Cricetulus griseus: one gene and its partner. The protein of the gene in region 2 binds, or shares a complex with, the protein of the main gene of each other region. Links are inferred from orthologs where the notes say so. Each region holds a gene or a part of one and is shown on either strand. Other genes may lie near its edges.

Evidence for each region.
Region 1: Prkg1 (region 2) and Cnn1 share a complex: the UniProt entries of both Homo sapiens proteins name them as parts of the cGMP kinase signaling complex. The link is inferred for Cricetulus griseus from reciprocal best matches to the Homo sapiens genes PRKG1 and CNN1.

What each region holds. Positions count from the first base shown.
Region 1 is NC_048597.1:134,988,288-134,998,779, forward strand, and holds the start of Cnn1 (calponin-1), read left to right. Parts: upstream 1-3,526; 5' UTR 3,527-3,609; coding exon 3,610-3,672; intron 3,673-5,392; coding exon 5,393-5,514; intron 5,515-6,690; coding exon 6,691-6,757; intron 6,758-7,752; coding exon 7,753-7,890; intron 7,891-8,072; coding exon 8,073-8,183; intron 8,184-10,492. UniProt on the Homo sapiens protein: Thin filament-associated protein that is implicated in the regulation and modulation of smooth muscle contraction. It is capable of binding to actin, calmodulin and tropomyosin. The interaction of calponin with actin inhibits the actomyosin Mg-ATPase activity.
Region 2 is NC_048596.1:29,787,901-29,805,077, reverse strand, and holds the start of Prkg1 (cGMP-dependent protein kinase 1), read right to left. Parts: upstream 8,684-17,177; coding exon 8,373-8,683; intron 1-8,372. UniProt on the Homo sapiens protein: Serine/threonine protein kinase that acts as a key mediator of the nitric oxide (NO)/cGMP signaling pathway. GMP binding activates PRKG1, which phosphorylates serines and threonines on many cellular proteins.

The DNA of each region.
Region 1 (10,492 bases), on a different chromosome or scaffold from region 2:
TCTTAGCCCACTCTCTCTCTCTGTCTGCCTGCCTACTCCCTTCTCTCTCTCCCTCCTGGCCAGGGTTTCACTATGTAGCTCTGGCTGGGTAGCTCTAGCTGGCCTCAAACTCAGAGACCCACCCTACTCTGCCTCCTGAGTGCTGAGATTACAGTTGTGCACACCTATAACCAATCATTCTCTTCTACTTATTTTTCTTGTTCTCTCTCTTTTTAATAATATTTCTTATTATTCTCTCTGTCTCTCTCTAATGTGTTTGACCTGAATGTCCGTGTGAGGGTTTTGGATTCCCTGGAACTTGAGCTTCCATGTGGGTGCTGGGAATTGAACCTGGGTCCTCTGGAAAAGCAGCCCATGCTCTTAACTGCTGAGCCATCTCTCCAGCCTACCTACACACCCCGACCTGGAACTCTTGATCTTCCACTTGCATCTCTTAAATGATGGGGCAGTAGGTAGATCCTCCAATGGGGACAATCTGGGTATCTGTCCCCTTTACTCTCTAGGTCCATTTGACAATGCCTTTAACTCTGCCTGTTGGTGCATGCCTGCCACACCAACACTCAGGACGCCAGTCTGGGTTACATTGCAAAGAGCAGGTGCTGGCAACTGGCACCTCATAAAGACTTGGGATGGTGTTAAAGTCACAGTGCCCAGGGCAGGACTCCACTGTAAAGAATTAGCCAACCGTCAATGTGAAGGCTGAGACACTCTGTTTGAACCTCACAGGATTAGGGACAGAGGCTGACAAAATTGTGTGACATATTTTTAGTGGGGGATCCCACACCCCTGCCTGTGTTGCTGCTTTTCCATCTGTAAAGTGCTCATGATAACAACATGTCCTGTAGGGTGCTGTGAGTATTGAGTGAGTTATATGGCCACAGTTTGAATAGGGCTTGACAGGAAAACTGTTGGCAAAGTCAGGTGGGGCAATGCATTCTTGTAATTCCAGCTACATAGGAGGTGGAGGGAGGCAAATTCCAAGTTCAACTCCAGCCTATGAACGTAGTGAGACCTTGTCCCAAACAAATTTTTTTTCTGTGTCTGTATATGCAGTGCCCTTGAAGGCTAGGCCAGGGCATCAGATACCCTGGAGCTGGAGTTACAGGAGGTTGTGAACTACCAGATATGGTAGCTGGAAACTGAATTCAGGTCCTCTGGGAGAACCATATGTACTCTTAGCCATTGCGGCATCTCTCCAAACTGAGAAGTTTGGCTGTTTCTTCATAATATATACGACATGAAAGCAGAAATGGGACCATTTGGGAAGAAGGAACCCAGATATGAAGAGCAGGGACAGAGAGGGTAGCGGTGGGAGAATATACAATGTGCCTGGGTGTGGTTGTGAGTGAATGACTATAATTTCAGTGCCTTGGAGTAAAGGAAGGAGAATCAGGAGTTCAAGGGCATCCTCAGTTACATTTCAAGTTTGTTACTAGCCTGGGACACAAGAGACTTTGTCTCACTCCCCTCCCAAAAATGTTATAATAAACATTTGTATTCCATTTAGAGAGAGAGAGAGAGAGAGAGAGAGAGAGAGAGAGAGAGAGAGAGGTGTTATACACATGTGCCCTAGCTTGCATGTGGAGGTCAGAGAACAGCTATAAGATTTCTCCTTCCATCATGGAAGTCCCAGAAATTAAACTCAGGTTGTCAGGCTTGGTGGTAAGTGCCTTTACCTGCTAGGTCATCTTCTAAGCTCTTCCATTCATTGTTCTGTATAGCAATTAGAATTGTTTTCAGTCTGCCCTTTTCTCTGGTGATGCTGGCAATTATACTAAAGTCTTGCACATGCCGGGCAAGGGATTTGCCACTGAGCTCTGTCTCAAAATAAAATTATTAATTATTATTAGCTATTTTAAGACAGGGTCTACTATGTAGCTTTCGCTGGCCAGGAACTTCCTCTGATCCACCTGCCTCTGCCTCCTGAGTGCTGAGATTAAAGGTGAGGACCTCTATGCCCTGCCAGATGTGTCTTTTATCTGTGGCCAGCAAATTGCAGGTCCTTAAATCATTATCATTAATGCACAGAGATTGATGTCATACAAGTGTCACTATCCTACACTTGACATGATGCAGTTGGAGCATTCAACCCCACGGTCCAGATGAGAGCTGTCCTAGACAGGGATGTTTACAGGTGTCCAACCAGACCAGCCTGAGCTGGCTAGAGACAGGGGAGTACTCATGGCCCAAGACCAGCTAACACAGGCCTTGGTGGCTCAGGTGACCAATGGATAAATAGTGAGAGAAGGTCTAGGATCTTTGTTTGTTTGTTTTGTTGTTGTTGTTGTTGTTTTTCAAGTTGCCCAGGCTGGTCTTGAACTCAGTATGTAGCCAAGGTCATCCTTGTACTTCTGAACATCCTGTATTTACCTCCTGGGTGCTGGGATTATGCACATGCATTACCAGCCTTGGTTTATGTGGTCCTAGGGCTTGAACCCAGGTTTTTGTGCATGTTAGGCAAGGATTCTACTAATAGACCTATGTCTTAGCTTCTACCTTTTAACATTTGTGTGTGTGTGTGTGTGTGTGTGTGTGTGTGTGTGTGTGTGTGTGTGTGTGTTTGCACATAATAGAGGTCAGAGGATAAGTTGCAGGAGTTTGCTCTCTTGTTCCACTATGTGAATCTTGGGGTTCAAACTCTGGTCATCAAGTTTGTCAGTAAACATCTTAACTCATCAGTCCATCTTGCCAGCCTCCTCCCACCCCTTTTAAACTAACTCATGTGTGGGGGAGAGAGATGGGGTCTCACTCTATAGCCCAGGCTGTGCTGGAATTCACTATGTAGCCCAGGCTGGCTTCACACTCTCAGGAGTCCTTTTGCCTCAGGTTCTCAAGTGCTGGGACTACAGGTGTGAGCCATCATACCCAATTAGAACTAGGCTTTTTGCTGCCCCAAGTCCACATGAGGGACTGGAGGGGATGGAACAGGGTACCAGATTGTTAGCAGAAGCAAAGCTTGGCTGAGGTTCTCCCTTGTGCCAGGCACTGCACTGGGCACCCTGGAGGTGACATTTTTTTTCTGATCTTTACAACATCCTAATGAGGCAAGCTCTATCACTAGCCCTTCTGTAGATATGGCAATAGAGACCTAGGGAGAAGGTTATGTGTTTAGGGTGATGTATGAAGATCAGTCAGATTGTCTCGCTGAACTACAGGGTGGGGGTGGGGGTGGGTGAAACGGGACGTGAAGTGGACACAGGTCCTGTCTTGGCATTGAAAAGGGATAGAGACCGGTCATCTTTGAGATAAGAAGACTCAGAGATGGGACATAGACAGTTGGCATGGGAGGAGGGTAGAGGAGGGTGGCCTGTGTGAGCAAGCCCCTCTCCCAGAATAAGGCAAACAGCCCCCTAGGTGGAAACAATGACACAATCAGCTTCCAATACCAAGGCCCTGACATCACGAGGTGGGGGTGGCCAAAGTGTGTGTGTGGTGCCACGCCCCTTGGCAAGCCCCTGTGGCCAATGGGACAGGCTTGGAAGAGCCTGGGGCTGGCCTCTGGAGCTTCAAAAACGTGTGAGGAGGGAAGAGGGTGCAGACGCAGGCTCAGCTGCCTTGTCCTCGTCAGTGTCACCAGAACCTCTGCTTTGCCAGAGCCCCCTGGCCAGCATGTCTTCCGCACATTTTAACCGAGGTCCTGCCTATGGCCTGTCTGCTGAAGTCAAGAACAAGGTAAGACCGGGGGACTGCCTAGCCTGGCCTCTGACAGACCCTGAGCGCCCTCCTACCTGTGTCAGGTGACTTGAGACCTGAGAAGAGAAGGAAGTTAAGGAATAGGGGCCGTTTTTTCTGTCCTTGGAACATCCCAGGGCCCTCGGTTACTTGAGGGGTGAAATGAGGGAACCCCACTATCCTTAAATTGAGGTAATCAGAGTGCTGCAAAGATTCCCACCTGCTCAGAGTCCTTGGTCAATTTTCTTGTTCCTGGGAGGGATGTAGGGGGAAGGGACAGACCCCTACCTTAAAAAAAAAAAAAAAATCAACCCTGCAGTTCATACAGCTAGAAGACACTGAGAGACATGGATGGGTAAACTGAGGCTTGGAAAGGAACAGCAAGGAGCTAGGGCCCCGGGTGAGGCAAGTGCGGACCCAAACCCCTCTCCACACCGGGATAGATCGATTTCCCGGGGCAGGGGACTGCACAGATTAGGAGAGGCAATCCCATTTGACAGAAGGGAATACTGAGGCTCTTCCTTTCCAGGGTCCCACAGCAGAAGTTGAGGGGAGCAAGGAGCAGGGATTGGGACCTGGATCAGGTTGGGGTATCCTAGGGGTTCAGGATTGGGGAAGCGTGGGGGGCGGGTGCTCCGCGGGAGACTGATGGCAGCGTCGCCCCCTCCCCCCAGCGCCGGCCCGAGGCGCAGAAGAGCCGCCGCGCCTTATAAGGCGGCCTTGGGCAGCCTGGGCCCGCGCTATATAAGGGCCGGTTTGCTTTATAAAGCCGGGCTGGTGGGGAGGGGGGCGGCAGGGCTGGGGCCAGGTAAGGGGGTGCACCCCTCCTCTCCCCATTCAGAAGAAGTGAGGCATCCCCCTTCCCCCCATCTCACTACCACCAGGGGCTGGGAGGCCAACAAGCAGGATTGCTGAAAGATCGTGAAGCGGGTCTTGCAGACAGGTTGGAGAGCGGGCGAGCCAGGAGGGAGATAAGAGCTAAGAGGCGGAGAAGGGAGCCGGTCGAATCCCACCCCGTACCCGGGAAGACCGGATCAGAGGGGTAGCTACAAAGCCAAGAGCCCCAGAGCTGGCTGGACAGGATTGTCTTCAGAGATGGGGACCCCAGACTGAGAAAAGGATAATGCACCACAGAGTTGGGGGACAACGAGAGAGACAAAGTGGGGCTGAGGACAGATTTAAGAAACACATTCAGGCAGGCATTAGGAAGGGTACAAAATAATCCCCATTTCTAACCAGGGATTCTATGTGTGATGTCCTGGGGCTCCCAGCAAACCAGCACCCAGGGGCTCCTTCTTAGGGTTCATCCCCGCCCCCAGTTTAAGGCATCTCCTCTTCCAAATGGAGAGTGGAGGGGGGGCTGGGTCAGGGGAAGCTAAGCCCCAAGTTTGGCTTGGAGGGGAAACCAAGGATCCAAGCGCCGCCCCCCCCCCCCAGCTTCAAGGATCAGGCTCTCCAGCCCCCTCTTGTCTATTCATTGGTGCCAAACCTCAGAATGCCCGGAATGGCCCCCTGGGCAGGTGCCACCTCAATCCTGGCCCTCCGCCTCCCGCTAGTCCTGCCCCCTTACCGTGGACACTAAGACAGGATTGCCTTAGTTGGGATGGATGAAGCAGGAGATTGGGCCTATCCGGGCTGAGATGGGCCCCAGAAGGCCAAAGCTCCTCTCTCTTGCCTGCTTCCTCATCACCTGTGCCTCATTCCTCCATCTCCATCTCAGCTGGCCCAGAAATATGACCATCAGCGGGAGCAGGAGCTGAGAGAGTGGATTGAGGGGGTTACAGGTCGCCGAATCGGGAACAACTTCATGGACGGCCTCAAAGATGGGATCATTCTTTGCGAGTGAGTGAGGTTCTTAGGGTGCAGACCGCGCCCCGAAGCCAGCACCCCACCTGCTCCATACTGGCCCTCAACATCACCTGATGATCCCAAACCTGGAACTGTAGTTAGACCCTGATACTTGATGCCACCCACATTCCTTCAAAGGCCTCGAAGACTCACTTGTGCCCATTACACAGGCAGAGATGACCGAGTCAGTTAGGTTTAAGACAGTACCCAAAGCCCTGAGGTGTTACCAGGCCATTACTTAGCTAGCACACGCTACAGGGCAGGCCTGTCTATGGATCTCAGTGGGCAACAGTGGCTGTTTATCTCCAGTTTTAGTGGCATTGTGGTGGTGTTACAATAGTTTATGTAGAATTCCCACTTCCCATATGTAGTTTATGTGGCTTCCCACTGCCCTCATCACTGGGGAAGATGAAAACCTTCACAGGAGCAGCCCACCATGGCTTGGCACGCACCTGGGATGCCCAGCACAGGCTGTGAGGTACAGTACAGTTCAGTGCAGAAAATATACATGAGCGAGGCTGGCTGAGTTCCACCCTCAGCACTTACACAGACAATCCACCACAGTCATTCACTTACCACTCATTAATACTGTGTTTAGAGAGCTCCTGATATACACAGGCCTTTGCTCTAGGTGTGTGGGGAGTGAACCTGGCTCCATGTGGAGCCCAGGGGGAGAAATTGGGCTGGTTCCACACCCAGCAATAGGTAATAGGTTTCATCACGAAGAAAAGGTAACCAAGTAACCAGCCAGATAATCACATTCATGCCATGAAGAAAGCCCATCGGGCTGATTGATGATTGGCTCAGTGGGTAAGGGTACTTGTCACCAGGACTGATGATGACCTGCGTTCAATTTCAGGACCCACATGTTGCAAGGAGAGAACAGACTCCTGAAAGCGGTTCATTGACTTCTACATACATGGCATGACACATGCATGTGCACATGCCATCTACATTCATGGCCATGCTCACACTCATACAAATGAAGACAACAAGGAACACTGACATTTGAACCCAGGAAAGCCAGGACACTTAGCCTGACTCTGGGGTTTCTGGCTGGTAGCTTGGGTCCCACATCCACCATAGCATGTGCTAGGTAGTACCCGCTTCCAGCTGTTACGTAGTCACCTTGCCTGAACTCACTTTCCCCACCCCCCTTCTCTTTGTTAGATTCATTAACAAGCTCCAGCCAGGCTCTGTGAAGAAGGTAAATGAGTCAACCCAAAACTGGCACCAGGTAAGTCCAGACACAAGTTACTAGTTTGTTTTCTATTTTAGTAATGAGGATTGAACCCACTGAGTGTGCTCGGCTGGAGCTCTACCCCTGAGCCACACCCCAGCCCCTCACTGGGGGACTCTAGGCAGGGGCTCTAGGTTAGAACCACGCCCAACCCTGGGCTTCTATTGCTGGTTTTGTCAAAGGCTCCCCTCACAGTCAGAGGACAACTCTGGTCTTGGCCCTCTCCTTCTGCCGTGTTTGAGGCAGGATCTCCATCTCTTTGTTGTTTTCCATTGGGTACACCCGGCTAGCCGTCTCCACCTCCCATCTCTCCCAACAGGAGTCCTGGGACTACAGACATTGGCGGCATTCTCTGACTTTTGCTTGGTTTCTAGAGATTCAAACTCAGGTCCTGATACTTTCACGTCAATTTTTTTTGTCTTTGCTTTTGTTTTGTCTTACCAAAAACATCTCCCTGACTCCTTTTTGAGACAATGTTTCATCAAGTTGCTCAGACAGGCCTTGAACTTCAATCCTACTTCTGCCTCCTGAGAGGATGGGATGGCAGGTCATTAACTTGTTTTTTAACTCTTTTTTTAAAAATATTTATTTTATTTATTATGTATACACTATTCCGCCCGCATATAAGCCTGTTTGCCAGAAGGCACCAGATCTCATTGTATATGGTTGTGAGCTAACATCTGGTTGCTGGGAATTGCACTCAGGACCTCTGGAAGAGTAGCCAGTGCTCTTAATTATTGAGATATCTCTCCAGCCCCTTGTTTATATTTATTTTTTAAAAAAGATTTCCTTTATTTGTGTGTGTGTGTGTGTGTGTGTGTGTGTGTGTGTGTGTGTGTGTACATTTGTATGGGCAAGTGCCCACAGAGCCCAGGAGGCATTGGGTCTCTAGATCCCTTGGAGCTGGAGTTACAGGAGTTTCACTCTATCCCTTACCCATCTGCCCCTCAGCCCTCCACCTCCCATCCCTGATCAGGCCTCTTCCCTTACAGCTGGAGAACATAGGTAATTTCATTAAAGCCATTACCAAGTATGGAGTGAAACCCCACGACATCTTTGAGGCCAACGACCTGTTTGAGAACACCAACCATACACAGGTTCAGTCTACTCTCCTGGCTCTGGCCAGCATGGTGAGTGTATGGGAAGAGTGGGCACGGGGCAGGTGTGGGGCTAGTCTCAGGTCAGATGGCTACAGGGACACTTAGGCCACTGAGCCTCACCAAAAGTGTTGGTAGGTGTTGGTGTGTGAGGGGAAATGAGGCCTACTGGAAGCTAGCTCATCTGTGTTCCATGTCCTTTTTGCCCCTTGCAGGCCAAGACAAAAGGAAACAAGGTCAACGTGGGAGTCAAATATGCAGAGAAACAAGAGCGGAGATTTGAGCCAGAGAAGCTGAGAGAAGGTCGGAACATCATTGGGCTACAGGTATGGACCCTTGGTCATACGGGCTGCTCTGGGCTGAGGGGAAGGCAGCCAAACCCTGGAGGCTCTGGGGGTCAGAATATTTGTATGGACTGGCTGGGAGCACAGTCAGTGTTTTCTGTTTACTAACTTGTTCCCTTTGCTCATACTCCTAAATAGTTCCTGCTTTATTTATTTACTTACTTATTTTGGTTTTTTGAGACAGGGTTTCTCTGTGGCTTTGGAGGCTGTCCTGGAACTAGCTCTTGTAGACCAGGCTGGTATCGAACGCAGAGAGATCTGCCTGCCTCTGCCTCCCGAGTGCTGGGATTAAAGGCGTGTGCCACCACCGCCGAGCTTAACAGACTCTTAAAATATTTTACTTAACTTTACTTATCTTTGTGTATGAATGCTTTGCATTCATGTATGCATGTATGCATATGAACCACATGTGTGCATAGTGCACACAGAGGCCAGGAGAGGGCATTGGATTCCCTGGAACTGGACTTATAGATGGTAGTAAGAGGCCATGTGGGTGCTGGGAATTGAACCCAGGTCCTCTGAAAGGGCAGCCAGTGCTTTTAACCCTTTATACAGATAGAGAAAGTAAGGTTTGCAGCAGGTAGCACACTGCTTTTTTTCTTCAGTGTTGGGGATGGAGTCTAGATCTCAAGTATGCTAGGCAAGCACTGTACCTTAGTTATATCTACAGCCCTCTTGTATTTTTCATTTGTATGTACGTATGTATCTATGGATGTGGGAGTGCACATCACGGTCAGAGGTCAGCGACTGTTGTCATTCCTCAGGAGCCATCCACCTTGGTTTGTTTGTTTTACTGTTTCTTCGTTTTGAGACACGGTCTCTCTTTGTAGTCCTGGCTGTCCTGGAACTCTCACTGTAGACCAGGCTGGCCTTGAATTCACAGAGATATGCCTGAAACTGCTTCCCAAGTGCTTGGATTAAAACTGTGTCCCACCATGCCAGGACACCTTGCTCTGAGACAGAGTCTCTCATTAGGTTTCTTAGTTTGTACTCTAATGTTGTGCTATAACACTACCCTAAACTTGTAGAAGGAAGGAGTTTATTTGGCTTGCATTTCCACATCACAGTGCAACTTGGAGAGAAGTCAGAGCAGGGATCAAGTAGGAACCTGTAAGAAGGAACTGGAAAGACACCATGGAGAAACACTGCTTATTGGCTTGCTTCCATGGCTTCTCAATTTTCTTATACAACCCAGGACTGCCTGCCTAGGGATGTCACTACCCACAGTGGTCTGAGACTTCTCATATCAATCAATAATCAAGATAATAACCCTTAGTCATGCCCACAAACCAATCTGATGGAGACAACTCCTCAACTCAAGTTCCCTTTTCCCAGTGACTCAAGTTTATGTCAAGTTGACAAACACTAACCAGCACAGCTGACCTCTTACTAACTTGACACACAAGCATATCACTAGTAAACCTCACCCTTTCCTTTCTTGGTTATTTCCAAAGCCCCCCCCCCTTACTGCCATACCACCCTGAATGCACATGATCTTATTTATTCCCCAAATCACAATGTAAAACATAACTTTGGCTGGGTGGTGGTGGCCCATGCATTTAATCCCAGTGCTCTGGAGGCAGAGGCAGGTGGATCTCTGTGAGACCAGCCTGGTCTACAAAATCCCTGTAACTTTAAATGTCTCATAGTCTTTAAAAAATGCAAACACTTTAAAAGTTTAAAGTCTCTTTAAAATATCCAAAGTCTCTCTCTCTCTCTCTCTCTCTCTCTCTCTCTCTCTCTCTCTCTTGCTTTTTCGAGACAGGGTTTCTCTGTATTGTTTTGGAGGCTGTCCTGGAACTCGCTCTGTACACTAGGCTGACCTCCTTCAACTCGCAGAGATCTGCCACTGCCTCCCAAGTGCTGGGATTAAAGGCGTGAGCCACCAACACCTGGCCCAAAGTCTTTCTTTTTTAAAGTTATTTTTTCTTACTTTATGTACATTGGTGTTTTGCCTGCATGTGTGTCTGTATGAGGGTGTCAAGTCTTGGAGTTACAGTTGTTAACTGCCACGTGGGTGCTGAGAATTGAACCCAGGTCCTCTAGAAGAGCAGTCAGTGCTCTTAACCACTGAGCTGTCTCTCTAGCCCTCCAAAATATCTCCTCTCTCTCTCTCTCTCTCTTTCTCCCTCTCTCTCTCTCTCTGTCTCTCCTCTCTCTCTAAGATTTATTTATTATGTATATATTATTCCTCCTCATGTGTCCCTGAAGGCCAGAAGAGGGCAGCATATATCATTACAGATGGTTGTGAGCCACCATGTGGGTGCTGGGAATTGAACTCAGGACCTTTG
Region 2 (17,177 bases):
TATATTGTTATATCTATGCAAAGTGGAAGAGAAACAAGGAAGCTCCTCCTCATTGACCCTGGATGTAAGGAGGTGTTTTTTACCAAAAGGCATTTGCAATTATATTAGCTATTTTCATTGCTTACATGAAGCGCAATACTGCTTGATTCTCACCTGAGAAGATAATGATTGAATTGCAAATGTGAAGAGATATCTATTGGAGACCATTACCAAGACCTTGAGGAGTTTCAGCTGGAAACTGGAAGCAAGAAAGAAATGTAGAGCTAGCCTGTTCAGGGACAGTGGTGACTTTAGAGCACCGGGAATAGGGATTCTTTATATCCCACAATACCCCTTGCTACTGGGGTGCCTAAGACTTCTCCTCTACCAGAGGTTGCCCACATCTGGTCTCTCAGACCAAACTGTCTGGAAATGGGGCTGAGAGGTTGATTTGCTTACTCCGCTTTCGTTGAAACCTCCTTGGAAAGTACTTCTCAGCCGGAGCTCAAGCTGTTTGCCTTAAAAGGATAAAATATCTGTAAGGGGAAAAAAAAGCTAGCTGGCTGCAGAGGCATCTCATACCAGACAGAGAAATGCTACAAGCCCTGCCCTGCTCTTCCAAGTGGGACTTGTCTTTGTTTCACCTCCATCAATTTCAAATTTCATAGCATCAGCTGGGATTCAAGGAAACAGTCTCTCCTGTTGGCAAGGCCGCTGCCCCCAGCAAAAGTGGAAATCAAACTTGGGGTGATGACTGACCCTAATATATATCCAGTGGCTGGCCAGACTTGTGGATGGCTGGAAGGAGGAAACTGCTTACCAGTTGAATGGAGCTGCTGAGGCTTTTATGTGGCCAGAACTATAGTAGGCAATCCCAGAATCAGAGTGAAAGGGACAGTCCAGCTGTGATGGGTGACACACAGCTGGAGTTGCCTCATCCCTCTAGGAGCAGAATCTCTCCAAAAGAATGGAAAGTAATCTGTAGCATGAGAGAAGCCAGGTAGGCTAGTGAAGAGGTTCTCAACTTGGAATGAAGTTGAGAGCCATCCCTGGATTAAACTATCCCATGAGCCCAACCCCAGAGTGACTGAATCAATCTTGCTAGTGGCACCCAGAAAAGATATGTTTAAAATATTCCTTGGCAGTTTTCTAATGAACAACCATGGCTGAGAGAAAAAAAATGGGCCATGAGGAACATTGCATACTTGCTTAGGAGCATAAACAATAAGACACATGATCACAATCGAATAAAGAATAAAACCCATCACTGCTTTTGCAAGCTGATAAAGATTTTAGCCCATAGCCGGGCATTGGTGGCACATGCCTTTAATCCCAGCACTTGGGAGGCAGAGGAAGGTAGATCTCTGTGAGTTCGAGGCCAGCCTAGTCTCCAGAGCGAGTGCCAGATAAGCTGCAAAGCTACGCAGAGAAACCATGTCTCAGAAAAAAAAAAAAAAAAAAGATTTTAATTCAACTCTTTACACTTATCTTGGTCCTCTATTTGGACACACACACACACACACACACACACACACACACACACACACACACACACACCATGTCCTGTCATCTTCTCATCACAGTGGCTCCCAAGTTTCGTTTCACATTGGACCTACCATAGGAATCATCTGAAAGACTGGTTTTAATTCATTGGTGGTAGCCAGGCGTTGGTAGCGCACCCCTTTAATCCCAGCACTTGGGAGGCAGAAGCAGCCAGATCTCTGTGAGTTTGAGGCCAGCCTGGTCTCCAGAGCGAGTGCCAGGATAGGCTCCAAAAGAGAGAAAACCCTGTCTCAAAAAAAAATTCGTTGGTGGTAAAACTTAGGGGATGAGATTTTTTAAAGGTGATTCTAATGTGCAGTCATGTTTGAGGAAAAGTCCTACCTAATTTCTTCAACTTCTCCGAAGGTTTTTCTGCTTTCTGTCTGATTATGGGTACACAGACACTTTCCCCAGAACAGCCCATATGTTATTCATAGGTTCTGCATTTATCCAATCCCTGCAGGCTTTGGGGCTGTGTAAGAACCTAGTGGTTCTAAAAAAGGCTCCAGCAGCTCAAATTCTGGCTTAAGTTTTTTACAATGAGTATGCCCTTTGAACATGGGCCTTTCTTTCTAGGAGTCTGGGTGTTCCGTTACTCAGGGTGGAAAATGAGAATAATCTAGAATATTCCTTACAATGATATTGAAATCCACAATGCAAGGGAGGGGAAGGTTCCTCGGTGAATAAAGCATGTGCTGGGAAAGCATAAGGGCTTAAGTTTGAATTGTAGCATCCACTTAAAAGCCAGGTGCGGCACTGTCCCTGTAACTACAGTAGTAGTAGGAGAGACAAATAGATTAGCCCCAACAGTGAGCCACAGGCTCCTTGATTGACTCTGTTTCAATTAATAATAGTAGTAATATAATAGTAGTAGTGGCAGCAGCAATGAGGAATAACAATTAAGGAAGACACAGCATCAACAACTGGCTTCCATACATGCCTATGCTGTAAGCACACCCTCACACAATGTGCACATACATTCATTACATTCATTCAACACTCACAGACTCTCTCACACACACACACTCACAATGAAAAAAGTCATGATGCAGGTTAAGCAAGGGAAAGATATCTGCCACAGAGTTAGTGTCCCATGAAAATTAGCAGGGTGGTGGTGGTGGTGGCGGTGATGATGATGATGGCAGTATCATTCTTGACCTGCTTTCAGAACAGTTACATGCTGACATACTGCCCTTTCCTCCCCTCACTGAGGCCTGCAGACAAACCACCAAACCCTCCCTGATATTAGATTAAGTGATGCTTCAAGGGGGAAATACAAAGCATTGAAAACAAGACACTGGCATGAAGAGAAACACCTGCATTATTTTGTGACAATATCTAAGTTGAGCTTCTCAAGGCAGGCAAGCTTCAAGATGTGGTCCTTGCCAGTTTTTGCACACACAAAGACTTACCTGTCTTGCAAACTCTGCTCCAGCATTGGGGCATATTTATATGTCCAGAAAGAATATTGCTACTTTCAAACTTCTGGAAAATATAACATAGCCTCAACAGTACTCCACATCCCAAAATGTCATCTCCCTACTCTACTCTCCTGCTCATTTGTATGAATAACTGGGATCATAAAATTCCACTCCCAAACAAGACACTTCTTAGAGTGCACTATGCTTAGTCCCACATTGTGTTAAACATCTGCCTTGTGTAGCTGGAGTTTTTGAGCCATTGTTTATATTTAAATGTCAGTTGGGGAAGGAGAGCTTTCCTTGATCTTACCAACAAAACTGTACTTAGAGAGTTCGAGCAGGCTGTACAGATTTAATTCTCAAAAACAAAACAAAAAAATCCTTAAGGAGACAGCAAGGAAGGTATTCACTACAAAGGATGGTAGGAGGGACTAGAGGTGGTGTCAGAAAGCTGTGTGTGAAGAAGTAGAGAGACTGTCACAGGAGGGGTGGCAAAGAAAACCAGCCCAACTATTCAGATTAGGATTCGAAATGCCACAGATGTGATTGCATAATAAGCTGTTGAGCGTGCTGGTAAGTGCTGCTTTCAGCATGTGAGTGTTTGTCACATTGTCTTGTGTTCCCAGTGCCAGGCAGGTTCAAGTCAGAAGGTCTGGGATGCTAGCCGCAATTCCAGTTCCTTGGGATGGGCAGCAGCACCTATGGTAGAGATAGCAGAAAGAGCAGCAGCCTGGTGTTCAAATATGGTTGCTAGGATACCATGGAGACCCTCCATTGCTAGGCAGACAGGATAAAAAAATGTGCCCATATGCCTTATAACCTGCAAACAGCAACAATGGAAACAAGGCATGTCTCATTCTACCATTTCCTAGCAAAAATCCAAACCAACTCTTTAATGAAACACTAAATGATGAGGGCTTGGAAATGCAGCCAAGTAGAGCAAGGAAGATGGCTGTTTATATTCCCAGGCAGTCCCTAGATCTACTCTATTTAAGGCTTGTCAGTATTTTCATTATTCATCCCATTTTAGGGGCAAGCAACTTGACTGCACTTCCAAACACCCTAACAGGATATTTAGCATCATGATCCCATATAATATTATGAAGGCTTTGCACAACTTTCTTCCACTGCATAGTCTGTAATGTCAAATTAATGCTCAAACTTAATTGGAAACTATTCTAATAACCTTGGGTCAGAATTTAGCTCCCCCACAGAAGCAGGGGAGATGGGTTTCAATAACTAACAAGATTGCATTCTCATCCATATCAGTCTGTCCAGGTATGTGAGGAATCTGCCGAGTTGGATTATGGCATATAAGTAAACTACTTTCAGTGGTACTCAGAAAGGTATTTGATTTCTTTAAGAGTGGACCTTGGTTTCCTTAAGAGTCTTCACCATCTGCTTTTTGGTTAAGGTTAAATATTTTAACCTAGTTAATATAGTTATGGTGGAAAGTTAGAACCACAGTCTGATATTCAGAGTTTCAGCACTAACTAGCCCTGGTGAAACACACACACACACACACACACACACACACACACACACACACACACACACACACGGTTCTTGATCATTCTAAAAGCAAGCCTAAGTTCCTCTTGATCCACTCTATAAAATCATAGAAACTGAGCTTTGGTTCCATTCATGGCGCTACAGGAAAGCCTCTCGCTGCTGACGGCTTGAGTTGTAACATCTCCACATCTCCCCATCCCTTACCCCTCCCTTCACATCATGCCGTGCTTAAATCATGGCAGTCTCACCAGCACAAGACCCTGTACCTCAGTGGAGTTCCTGATACCATGCACTTCAATAGGAGCCACAGCACACACCATGTGTTTCAGTGGACTACTCTGTCTTCCACCTTACTTAGGTGTCTAAAGGTTTACTTGTATAGTATTGTTGAGTCCTTTGCTAACTCTGTAATGGCAAGGCGTATGCACCTTACAAGAATTTCCACATGGAAGGTTTCACAGAAAGATTTTGAGCTGACTTGCAAGGCTTATTAGAAATTTAGTACCTTCACAGAAGTCTATGTTTTAATATTAAGCTGTATATAATCATACTAGAATCCCATGATTTCCATGACTTCCTTCAGAATTAAACACATAGTGTTTAGGGAGACACTGTTTCTCTTGGGATATAATATCAAGGTTTAGGAGATCACATGGGATCTTTTAAATTTTAACTCCTACCTAAAAATAGGAAAAAATACATTTTGCTTCTATCTCCAATTCTTCCAAAGTATTTCACAATCACAAAGTGAAACAGAACAAAACACTTCATTCTCTGAAGTGAAGCCACCTCGGGGGTAAAGGCAATAGCTTTACAAAAACACACAGACATTAACAAGTTTTGATAGGAACTCAAGTTGAGGTAGTCCAACTAAAATGACATAGAAGGCTGTGACAGCAAAACAGAAAAGACTTGGGAACAGTGAGTGCATCTGTAGGAATGAAATGCCATGAAATAAAATTATTTTAGAAGTTCAAGTGACCCATCAGGTTGTCTGATCTCACAGACTGGATGTCTGAGGTTTGTTTGTTTGTTTGTTTCACTGTTAGGGAGCTTTTGCTCAATGTATTTTGGAACATAGAATCAAGTGCTTTTTACATTTTTAAGTAGTTCATTGGCAGCAGGATAATACAGATTCCAATTTGCTACATCAATTCTTCCCTCACATTCATAAATAACCTAAGAAGGGTTTAAAGGTGACATCTATACAGATTGTGAAAGACCAATGCCCCCACTACACCTCACAGGTATAGCAGAAATGTCCTCCCCTGTGGTGGAATCCAACAGAAGCTTTCTTCCAATTCTCACATTAGAGAGAAAAATCCCAAGAAAAAACTGTTAAGATGCTAAAAAGTTATGAGGCTACTTTAAATTTTGTACTGCTTTTTTATCCTCAAATGATCAATGGTTACTAAAATAAAAAAGGAAGTTTTAAAATACTGTAATTCTCAAAAGTCAGCCTCAGTAAGGGAACACTAGAGGATATGTTCCGTTCATCAGTTGGTCATTAACTACACCTACTGGAAAGATAACCAAAAACAAAGAGGAAAGTGGTAGCTGAAATAAATTCCAGTCTACTTAGATAGTTTCCCTTCAACCTTAACTTAATCTTTAGGAAAGTGATTAAATTTAAGTTGCACTAAAGATTAAAGAAGTAAACACTTGTTGACAGTAAGTCTGAATAATAAAAAGAATCAAACAATATACGATAAAATGCAAAAAAATGTTTTAGGGTGTCACATTTTTTGTACTTCTATGTAGAGTTGTCTTGTACGGTCACTCAAATGGCATAGGATAATAACTATTTTGCATACAATACACTTCTTTTCCCCTAAGAAAGGTACACTACCACTCAAGGCAATTTTATTTCGGTTTCCTTTATGTAAGTGTGAAAAAAAAGAACAGATGTTTTTCCAAAATTATTTAAACTTGGAAGACATTTTATCATTTTTCTTCAGTATAATCCTTCAGAATTAGAAAACTCACATGGCAATACCACCTTAACAATGGGGTCCTGAAAGTTATCAAATAAGGACCAGAGTGTAAAACATGTTCAACATACACAATCTTTGTCCTGCAGGGATACTACAAAGAATGTGCTTTTCTAATGTTATTGTCTACTGTGGAATTTTACAAAAACACCAGTGCCCTGTGTCAAACACCGAGAGTCTTCTAAACATACCACATTCTACAGTTCATTCCTGCTGCCTGGATTTCTTTAGACTTTCTCAAATAGAATGCTTAAGTGGAGTTATCAGCTGGATTGATCATACTCTGTCTAAAAGTCTATTAAAAATAGTCTTTTTATAAGAGCAGTTTGTTCTTGGTAACTCCAAACTCCAGCAGATACTAAAATGACAATCCTACAGACTGTTTAAAGATACAAAGCGCTGTCTCTGAGTTACATTTTCATTATGCAAAACTTGGCCCAGGAGAGATGGCCATGTACCTTGTTAGCTGAAACAGGCGAACATGCCAGCGACTGCAAATTAATTTACCAAAGGAAACTCCAATGGATTCAGATCACTCAGTTTCTAAGACAAATTGAAATCAGCTGATCTATGATGGCAACTTGGTAAGGTTGGGATTTCAGAAATATTTATATTATCTGTGTCAACTCTCCTGTACTCCACAGAATTCAAACTCCATCAGCTAAGCCTGCAAATGATTCATGGGAGCCAACATGTATAGATTGGGCTTGTAAGTTTTCAAAAAAGTGTACGTAGTATATACTCATGACCCCTCCCATCCAAGAAATACAAATGGAGATAACCAAGTCTTCACTATCTCCTCTTATGAATTCCTTGTGTTTAGGAAGTAAAGGTTTCTCGGGGGCCTTCTGTTATTATGTAACACGTGTCATCCAGCCGTGTTATGTAGTTAAGAGCAGGACAACAGAATCCTCGGCTTTACCAATTATGTCATTACTATTAATTAAAATGCCATTCAGATGGTGTTCTGGTTCTGCTGCCGTCCTGTCCCTGATGCTCGCTCTCCATATGGACTCTGGGGTTGAGTGTTGTGTAACAAGTTTCATTCAGTGTTCCCATCCAAGTTATGAATCCTACTGACATCAGAACTACACTGCTCTGTAACATGCTAGAACAGCGGCAGAGTGGCTTTAGACCTGAGTGTGAGGCGCAGCAGGGGAAATAACGTGGGCTTGACCACACTGGCCCTGAAAATACATGAGCCCTATAGGGAAATGTTCATTAGGAATCATGTGAGAATTCTTTTAGAAAAACAAATCATATTCTCTCTCAGATATTATGAAAACATTTTTAAGAATCAACAGACTAGGCTTCCATTTATGGATTGTAAATGTCATCCAACTCAGGAAATTTTTAAAAAATCTTCTGTTTTATATGTATATTGACTTATTCTTTTACACTTTGATGGTGAGAGAACATCAGGTTTGAACAGTACCAGCCTGAAGTGCCGGCGGCATGTAGAAAAATCCAGGAGAGCCACAAGAGCGTGGAAAGTCAGGGTAATATCAACGCATTTCATTTCAGTCTGATGAGCCTGCAGTTAGGATTTTCCGGCTGGCCAGGTTGGCTGGGGCTTTGGGAAAGACGGGGTTCTGATTCCTCCATTCAACAGTCACTCACACACACCGTCAGACACACACCTGGGGCGCGTCCAAACTCTATGTACAGTAGGTGGCATATATGAACGTATATGTATATTTTAAAAATACCTTGGCATCTGACAAAGACACGAAGGCAACGGATGTGCAGGGAGTCTGGCCCTGAGAAACGTGCACAGCCCCTCAAGAAGTGCCGTGAAAATGAGACATTTCTGAGGATGAGGACAGACATGGCAAGCGGGAGGGGCAGGGGCCGACAGACAATACAGAGACCCGCAGCTCCCCACCGCCAGGGCGCCACATGGACCCAGGCGAGTAACCCTGCTTACTGTGGGCTCTTGGGGTAGAAGGGCAGGGTCACGTGGCTGAGATCCTGGATGTCGAAGGCGGTGGGCTCCGCGGAGATCGCCTGGCGCTTGGTGCGCGGTTCACCCTGCAAGGTGCTGGCGCTCTGCTTCTGCGCCTGCTGGGTGGCGGGCCGGATCACCGAGCGGTACTTGTCCAGTTCGTTCTGCAGCTTCTGGATCAGTTCGTCCTTCTGATCCAACTCCAGCTCCAGCTCATCGATGAGAGCATCCCGCTGCCTCAGCTCCTCGATCTTCTCCTGGAGCGCATACTGTAAATCCCGCAGGGTGCCCATGCTCCTCCGGGCTGCCGGGGGCTCCTTCCTGCCGCTGCTCCGCGTCTTGGGGCTTCCTCCCCTCTCGGATCAACTTTCCCTAAAGTCGCCGCTGCCTCGCGAGTGCAAAAGCTTCCTTCGACTTGAGACCAAAGCCAAACCTGGCTTCTGAGCATGCCCAGTCTGCCGCTCCAGCCACCGAGAGTTTCAGTGTGCAGATTCCACTTCTCCGGGTTTAGGGATGAGCAAAACAGGTCCAGCCCAGATGAACCTGAAAGGCGGTGGGCGCCGCGGTGCCTGGGGGAGCAGAGCCTGGAGGCGCAGTGACCCGCGGGCGGGAGGAGGGGGCCTGGGCTTGGAGGAGGCGGCTGCTCAGCGAGGGTCACCAGCGCCGGGTGCCAAAGGAAGCCAGCGATGTGTGTGGGGAGCCTGATAAAGCTCGGGGGCGCTGGGGCTGTGCGGGCGGAGCGAGGCTGGAGCGCTACTTTGGAGGTGGAGAGGTGGGAGGGAGAGGACCCAGAGCAAACTGGAGAGGCGTCGGCGGGCTCCGGCTCCAGAATGTGGGGCTAGGTTCCTGTCGACCAAGAAAGGCAGCGGGGACTGTGTATGCTAACAGCTCTGACTTCTGGAGGGATTGTGACCGCAGCCTCACAGAGGAAAGCGGTGTAACTGAGCTCTGGCGTCCCTCAAGCCACCTTTCCCACCGGGAGCGCCTCATACAGGTGTCTAACGCTTGTAAAGAAACTTGCCTCTCCGAAGGTGAGGGAGGGATTCCCCAGACATCTAGTAGTAGCCTTTGGGGAAGGTTAGGGGTGGGGTATCTGACTTCAGCCAAACAAGCCTCCCACTCTCCCAGTCTCCCCTTTTCTGCACTGGTCAAACTCAGATCAATGAATTCTTCTAGGGGCAAAGGCCAAACCCCAAACGAATTTGGGCCAGAGAAGGCCTCTTAGCTGCTCCCTGGTCCCTGCCATTTGTGCTAGCATCAGTTGCAGAGCGGTGCACTGGAGGCCTGGCTTCTTCCATTTGCTGGATTTGGTGAAGTGGGTGGGGGCTTAAAAATCACAGCGGAGTTCCAAAACATTCTTACAGAAAGGGAACCACATCTTTTAAATGCTACTTCAGTGACAGCCCGCAGTTAATGGGGGATCTTTGCCAACTTTGGAGAAGAGGTAAAATCAAAAACTGATGGGAAAACTGCAGGAGCCTTAATTGCACTGTACCACCTCTCTCTCTCTCTCTCTCTCTCTCTCTCTCTCTCTCTCTCTCTCTCTCTCTCTCTCTCTCTCTCTCTCTCTCTCCGTTCCCCCTCTTTGTCTCTCCCCACCACCTCTTCACCAGCAAGACATCTCAGTGTGGGGCTAGAATTCTGGCAAGGAGGGGGCAATCTAACAGTCCAAGAGTTGGTTTCTCATCTTGGGAACACTTATTTAGAACGCCCAAAATATTTATTTGATGCTTACATAAGTGCCTAATAGTTAATTAAACCTTCATCGGTTCTTCCAAATTTATATTTTTTTTTAATTGAGAGCTTTAATTTACTGTTCTTCCACACTCTGTGTTATAATCTCAGTGTTCTATCTGTCCACCCTTTAACACTTAAACAAAAGAGATGGAAAATACATTAAAACTAAATTGCAGTACACAACTACTGCCTGGAATCTCAGATTAGCCAAGGACACAAATCTATCTCAAAAAAATAAAATTGCTCATTTATTCCCTTAAGCACACAGCTTTCTGTATCTGAGCTTTACAAAATAGGAAAAAGAAAGCCTAGCCACTGGCATATCAACAAGCTTTTTCTTTTCTTTACTTTTCTTCTGTCCTTCCTTCCTTCCTTCCTTCCTTCCTTCCTTTCCTAATTTCAAGTCTGCTTCTTGGTAATTAGAGGTGCAAATGAAAGGGATATGCAACCCTACACACTTTCCACAAAGACTGTGATTTCATTCTCTCGATAGATGATGTCATGTTCATTCTTTCCAACAGGAAGCTGTGGAGGACATTTGCTTCAGAATGTAATCTAAAAAAGTGCACAGGTCATGAAACATTTTCAAAAGATAACAGTAAATAAGAGTTCTGAATTACTGCTGTTTTCCTTAGAAGTCAACTGAGCGGAAGTACTGTGACTTTGTATGACTGATGGCATCCTTGGGCAGCATTCTTCTGGGACAATCTCCTCTTCCCAGGCAAAAGTCCAGAATTTTAGTTAACCTGTGGGAATGTTCTACTTCCCTGGGAAAATGTTTCATGCTATTTTTTCTTATGATTTATTTGGGGGTCTATAAAGCCAGGAGTTTATGTCTAAAGATGTATAAGAAGCAATGGACAAGAAAACTTTGTTTACGGTCTTTCTTGAGGCTTAAATGAGGTTCCTTAATGTCTCACCACACAAGAGAGGGGACATATTGCCTTGCTTGTAAAAACCTCGTCTACAAGGGAAAGAAGGGAAGAAAAAGTAGTAAATTGTTTCCTACCTCACAAAAAGTATGTTTAAACAGCACTTAAGCCATAAATAATCAGGATTTTTATCAAAGTGAAGTTTTGCAATACTAAACTGTATACTTTTCTTAAGTAACAGAAAGCCCACAAACTATAGCAGCATGAATGCCAGTCACAGTCTCATTTGAAATAAAATGCTCAAATTTCAAAAAGTGTTCCATGATGGATCTGACTTTAAGAATCAGGGATCTGCTGCAAGAAACACAAAGAAAGTGAATGGTTGAAAAGAGCTGCCGATTTCAAATGGCTTAAACTTTGAAAGGGGCTCAAGGCACAAAATATATTGTTACATTTGCCTTTATTACAGAGAATATTGAATTTCTCCCAAGACCTTTATACCTTTTGCATAACTTAGAATTCTTGGATTTTCTCTGTAATTAATAAGATGGTGATAAATATTATACATTGATTTTTTGAGGGATTGCACATACCATGGTGAACATGTGATGGACAAGTGACAGACAACTCACAGGTGTTATTCCTTTCCTTCCACTACAGGAGTCCTGAGGGTTTGAACTCAGTTCCTTGGGTTAGCACATGCCTTTACCCACTAAAACATCCTCCTGGCCCTCAAATGTTTTAGCTAATTTGTTCAAGCATGTTTTTAGCTGGTTTTTTAGATTGTAAGTGATAAAGTTTTGATTTGTTTGGGTATTGTTCTTAACCAATGCTGGAAATAAATTTTATTTGAAATACCAAGGTCCTGAAATTATTTTTCAAGAGATGAATTATTTTTACTCTGCATCCATGGAAAATTTTAAAAATTATGTTCATTTGTGTGTGTGACTGTCAGTATGCACATATGAATGCAGAGATTTTCGGTGGTCAGAAGAAGCTGCCCTATCCCCTGAGGCTGGACTTTAAGGTGGTTGTGAGCTGCCCTATATAGGTGTCTCTTTTGGTTTATTGCTTTTATGGAAACAATTAACATTCGTTTCCTATGAATTAAGCACAATAATTCGAGCACTTACTCTTTTCTTCACGCATAGAATTAAATTAGTCTTATAATTGCAGTGGGGAGGGATATTTGATTATAAAGAGTCTACATTGGGGTTAGGGAGATGACTCAGAGGTTAAATTCAGTGGGTGTTCTTCTAGGGGACATGGGTTCAGTTTTCAGCACCCACACAGTAGCTTGGAATGATCTGAGGCCTTCTATCCTCCATGGGTACCAGGCATGTAAACAGTATACACACATTCAGGCAAAACACCCACTGGCATAAAATAAAATTAATTTAAAATTGAAATAAAATTCTAAGTATATATTTAAATATATATAAGCAACAATTCTAATGGTTGGACTGTTTTAAAGTCATGTTACTTCAAATAGTAAGTTCTGAATGGAAAAGAGAAGAAGAGAAGAGAAAAGAAAAGAAAAGAAAAGGCATTGATAAAAAAAAAAAAAAAAACCTTCCTTCAGTGACTTGGAAAGCCATAGTGCTCTACATTGAAATTGCTAATGTGCTTAGCACTTAATACTGAATTAGTGTCATGCCTGATATTAGCTGAAATGTATCCTCATAGTCGTTGGCTCAAAATGGTGGTAAGTTATTGTTGGACCTTAGGCTAAAGCAGTCTTTATTAAAACCCAGGCACTAAGAGAATGAATGTTCTTTATATACTCATTAGTACACTGTGCATTTCTAATGCCAGAAGGAGAAGATTTTAAGAGGAAAGGGATTGTGTTCTTCACAAATGTAAATCATAAAATGGATAAAACATAATTTAAAATACTTTTTAAATTCAGGTACATGCTTTTAATCCCAGCAGTTGGGAGATAAGGAGCAAGGACCTTTTGTTCTGAACTAACCTGGAATACATAGTGAAATGATCTCCAAAAAGCAAAGGCTTCACAAAAAAAACTTTTTATAATATTTTCAAATTATTTGTTTAATTTTTTCTGTGCATGAGTAGATAGATAGATAGACAACAGACTCACAGACTCGTGTGTGTGTGTGTGTGTGTGTGTGTGTGTGTGTGTGTGTGTGTGTGTAGATATATATGAGTACCGCATGCAGGTGCAATGACAACAGAAGTCTGAAAAGGACCTCAGATCCCTGGGAACTGAGACTATGGCTGTGAGCTGCAGTGTGGGAACTGAGAACCAGCCCAAATCCTCCGCAAGAGCAGCGAGTGCTCTAAGTCTCTGAGCCACCTCTCCAGCCTGGCTTTGCAACATCCAATTGTCTGCCCTTCACAATTAATGAATTACACTTCCTCCATTCCAATTCAGTGGTTCTGGCATATAAAATCTACATAGTTTCCTATTTTAAAGTGTTAAGATTTTCCACAAAAATATTCTGAAATATTTCCTGTTAGTCCTTAATGGGCAGTGCCCATGTGTGATTCCATGAGGGCCTGTTACCTTACTGGAAAATCTGAAATTGAAATTGTGTGTTTCAACAAACATCCCTGTGAGATGTAGTTCTTTTTAGTACTAGTGAATTTTGTCTGTTTTTTCTATAAAATGAGAATTTTAGATGTCCATATTATGACTTTAGAGGCTGTTAGAAATGTGTTTAAAATGTTATAATTTTAAAAACTCTGAGAATCCCTGTGGTACTGACTTATTGTCCCAGAATCTCAAAAAGTAACATGTCAGGAATTGGAAAACAAAGGGAAACATCTTTTTTTTACTGTATGACATAACTCTAAATTATGTCATGATGATGAATAAACATATCTTGTGCTTTCAAATTTTAAGAAAGCGGGTTTGATATCACATGACCTGGGAAAGCATAACTCTGTGGTTAGTATTTTCCCTTTGTCATTGCTTTTGTTTTAAATTGTCTTTAACGGCTGGCAGGAATTGGCTAGTCTTCTCCTAGATGTTTTGTAAGTATAAATTTAAAGTAAGGAAAATCTACTTTTTACTACTTTTTACCATTTCCATTATTAAGGTAGGAAAGTACTGAAGATGGACAGTAGAAAATAAAATAGACCAGTGAATTAATATTTGATCCGTATGTAAAATGACTGAATTAAGCCAAGAGAATTTCCTGTAATCATGAAAGAGGAAATTGAGGAAGAATGGTTGCAGACAAAACATACTTAGTCAGAAACTCCAAAGCTATTTTCACTCTCATTAACTTACCAGGTTAGTGAAGTGTCTCTTCACTCCAGATTAAGGAAACTTTTATACTGTAACTTTCATACAATCATCTCAGATACATGTTTATAAATTCATCTTTATATTAAAAAGGAAATGAAGCACTAAGCTGTTAAAATAAATGAACGTCATTCCATTTCAGAGGCAAAATAAATACCTGATGCTTACCAGAGTATCACTCTTGGAACAGGGTGGAAGCCCCAGGCTAGATCTCATACGATCTTCCCTAACAACACATTTAGAAAATATTCAATATTCAGTAACTCCTTTCTGGTCTAGTTTGTATCTTGAAGACTTCATTTTGGCAAAGCACAGACATTTATCTGGTACATGAAGAATGCTCATAATATCAATGTCTCGGATGTAGAAGACAAATGTGTAAACATCTACTAAAGGCAGAGTCAGAAACATGGCTCAGCTATTAAAATACTTCCTAGACAAGCATGGAGATCTGAGTTTGGATCTCCAGCACCTATATCCAATGCCATGGAAAACTGTACAGGCCATTGCTGCACTGGGGAGGTGGGGACAGAAGGATCCCTGGGGCTTGCTATCCAATTGGTCTTGTACAATCTTTATCCAATCTGTGAGTCTTAGGCTCATTGAGACACAATATCTTAAAAAATAAGGTGGATGGTGGGGCAGTGGTGGCTAATGCTTTTAATGCCAGCATTCCAGAGGCAGAGGCAGGTGGATCTCTGTGAGTTCGAGGCCAGCCTCGTCTGCAGAGCTAGTTCCAGGACAGCTAGGGATGTTACACAGAAAAACAAAAACAAAAAACACAAACAAACAAACAAACAAAAAAGGTGGAAGACAATAGGGGCAATAGAGGAAGACACTGCTTGTCAAATACTAGCTTCCACATGCAAGCACATGCACCCACACACAAACATACACACAGCCATGAACACAGGCAATGTGTGTCATTCCTCTCACACATAAAAAATACCCCAAATGGCAATATGCACTGCCTAGCCTCAGAGTGCCAAAAGAATAAACAAGAGGGTTTTTTTTCACTCTTTTGTATTTTTACAGTATGTTCAGTGTCTGTCTTGAATCATTTCATTATGGAAGAATGTTTCCCTCAAAGATCAGACTTAGGAAGTTAATGTGGAAAATTCATCCAAGTTTTCCATAGAATATAATGCAGTCAAAATTCAAAATTCAATCTTCCTCAGGAACGCATCTATGTTGACTACCCAGCCATTTTAAGTGGAAATGATGACAGGTGAAGCTTCAAAACACTTTACTGACAGAATGACAAAAGTAATGCTGCTTGCTAGGAAAATAGAGAACTTTGAGAAATGTGTGTGTGTGTTCTACTTTGCACTGATACGAACCTGCCTCTTTGGGCAAGAGGAGGATCCTCTCAGAAAGCAGGCAGATGCCCAATTTAATGGTATTCTGTATTCACCGTATGGTTTCATTTACTCACACACACACACACACACACACACACACACACACACACACACACACACACACACAGTTACAATACCAAGAGGTTAAGGCAGGAGGATCCAGAGTTCAATCTTTATTAATGATGTTTATCATGGGGTTCTTATCTAGAATGAGCATCAAGATTGCTCAACTCACCATCCTAGTTTCTATTCTGGAGAAACCCAAAGGCACAGGAATGAGAAAACTCACCTGAGTCAAGTCTGGAACTTGACTCAATTCGAAGCACAGTGTGGGTTTTATGTTTGATTTTTAAAGAAAGGGGTGAGTTGTATTTAATTATACATTTATTCCCATTTCTTACAAATAATCCTAGTGATGATCTTGGTAGCACTCAAAATAATCAATGCTTTAAATATTATTTGAGATAGGCTGACCTGGAACCCACTATGTAGTCAAGATTGCCCTTAAACACTTGGTCATCCTGCTTCCACCTTCTCAGCGCAAAGATTACAAGAATGGACCACTGCAACAGGCTTGAACACAATAATGTTTCAACTGAATGGCCTGTGATACACTCATCAAAGGTGTTCTTTCTTAAACAAAATTTTTACAAAAACTCATTTATTGTTTCTGTACATTATTTTAACACGTTTAGGCGTACAGTGTCTTTTTACTGTCACATGCATCCATGACTCTATTTCCATCACCTACCTTAAGATCTCTTCCTCCCCTCTATGATCTGCTTCCTACTTTCATTCTCTCTCTCTCCCACAAACACCACACAGACACACACACACAGACACACACACACACAGACACACACACACACACACACACACACACACACATATATATACATATACATATACATATACATATACATATACATTTACATATAGTCTGTGGTGATATATTATTTATGCTTTATTAAAGATTGCATGAGGATTCAGAAAGCAAAGTCAGCCACAAGCCAGGCACACGCCTTTAATTCCAGCAGCCAGAAGCTAGGAGGTGGTGGGATTAAGGATTAAGAGGAAAAAGGATCTCTCAATTCAGGGTCACCCAGTTTACATGAGATTGAATCAGTCTAAAAGAGAAAATAGATCACATGCTTTTAATCACAGCACTAGGAGGGTATAAAAGATAGAAGAAGAGTCTTCAGTATTCAGTATGAGGCATTCATTCTCCAGCCACACTGAGGTGAAGTTAAAGTCTGAGGCTTAGTGAGAGCTCCTGGAGACAGAATCAGCCCATTCAGCCTAGGTAGAGGTAAGAAGCTAGTGGCCAGCTGCTGTGCTTTGCTGATATTCAGCTTGAAGTTTGAACCCCAATATCAGTCTCTGGTTCTTCTATTTATTCATGTTACTGTAGTATTTGTCTTTCTTAGTCTTGCTTATTTTACTTTACACAATTTACAGTTCCATCCATTTTTCTGCAAAGGTCATGATTTAAGTTTTCTTTTGGGCTACATGAAATTCAGTTGTGGTTATTACTGCATTTGCTTAT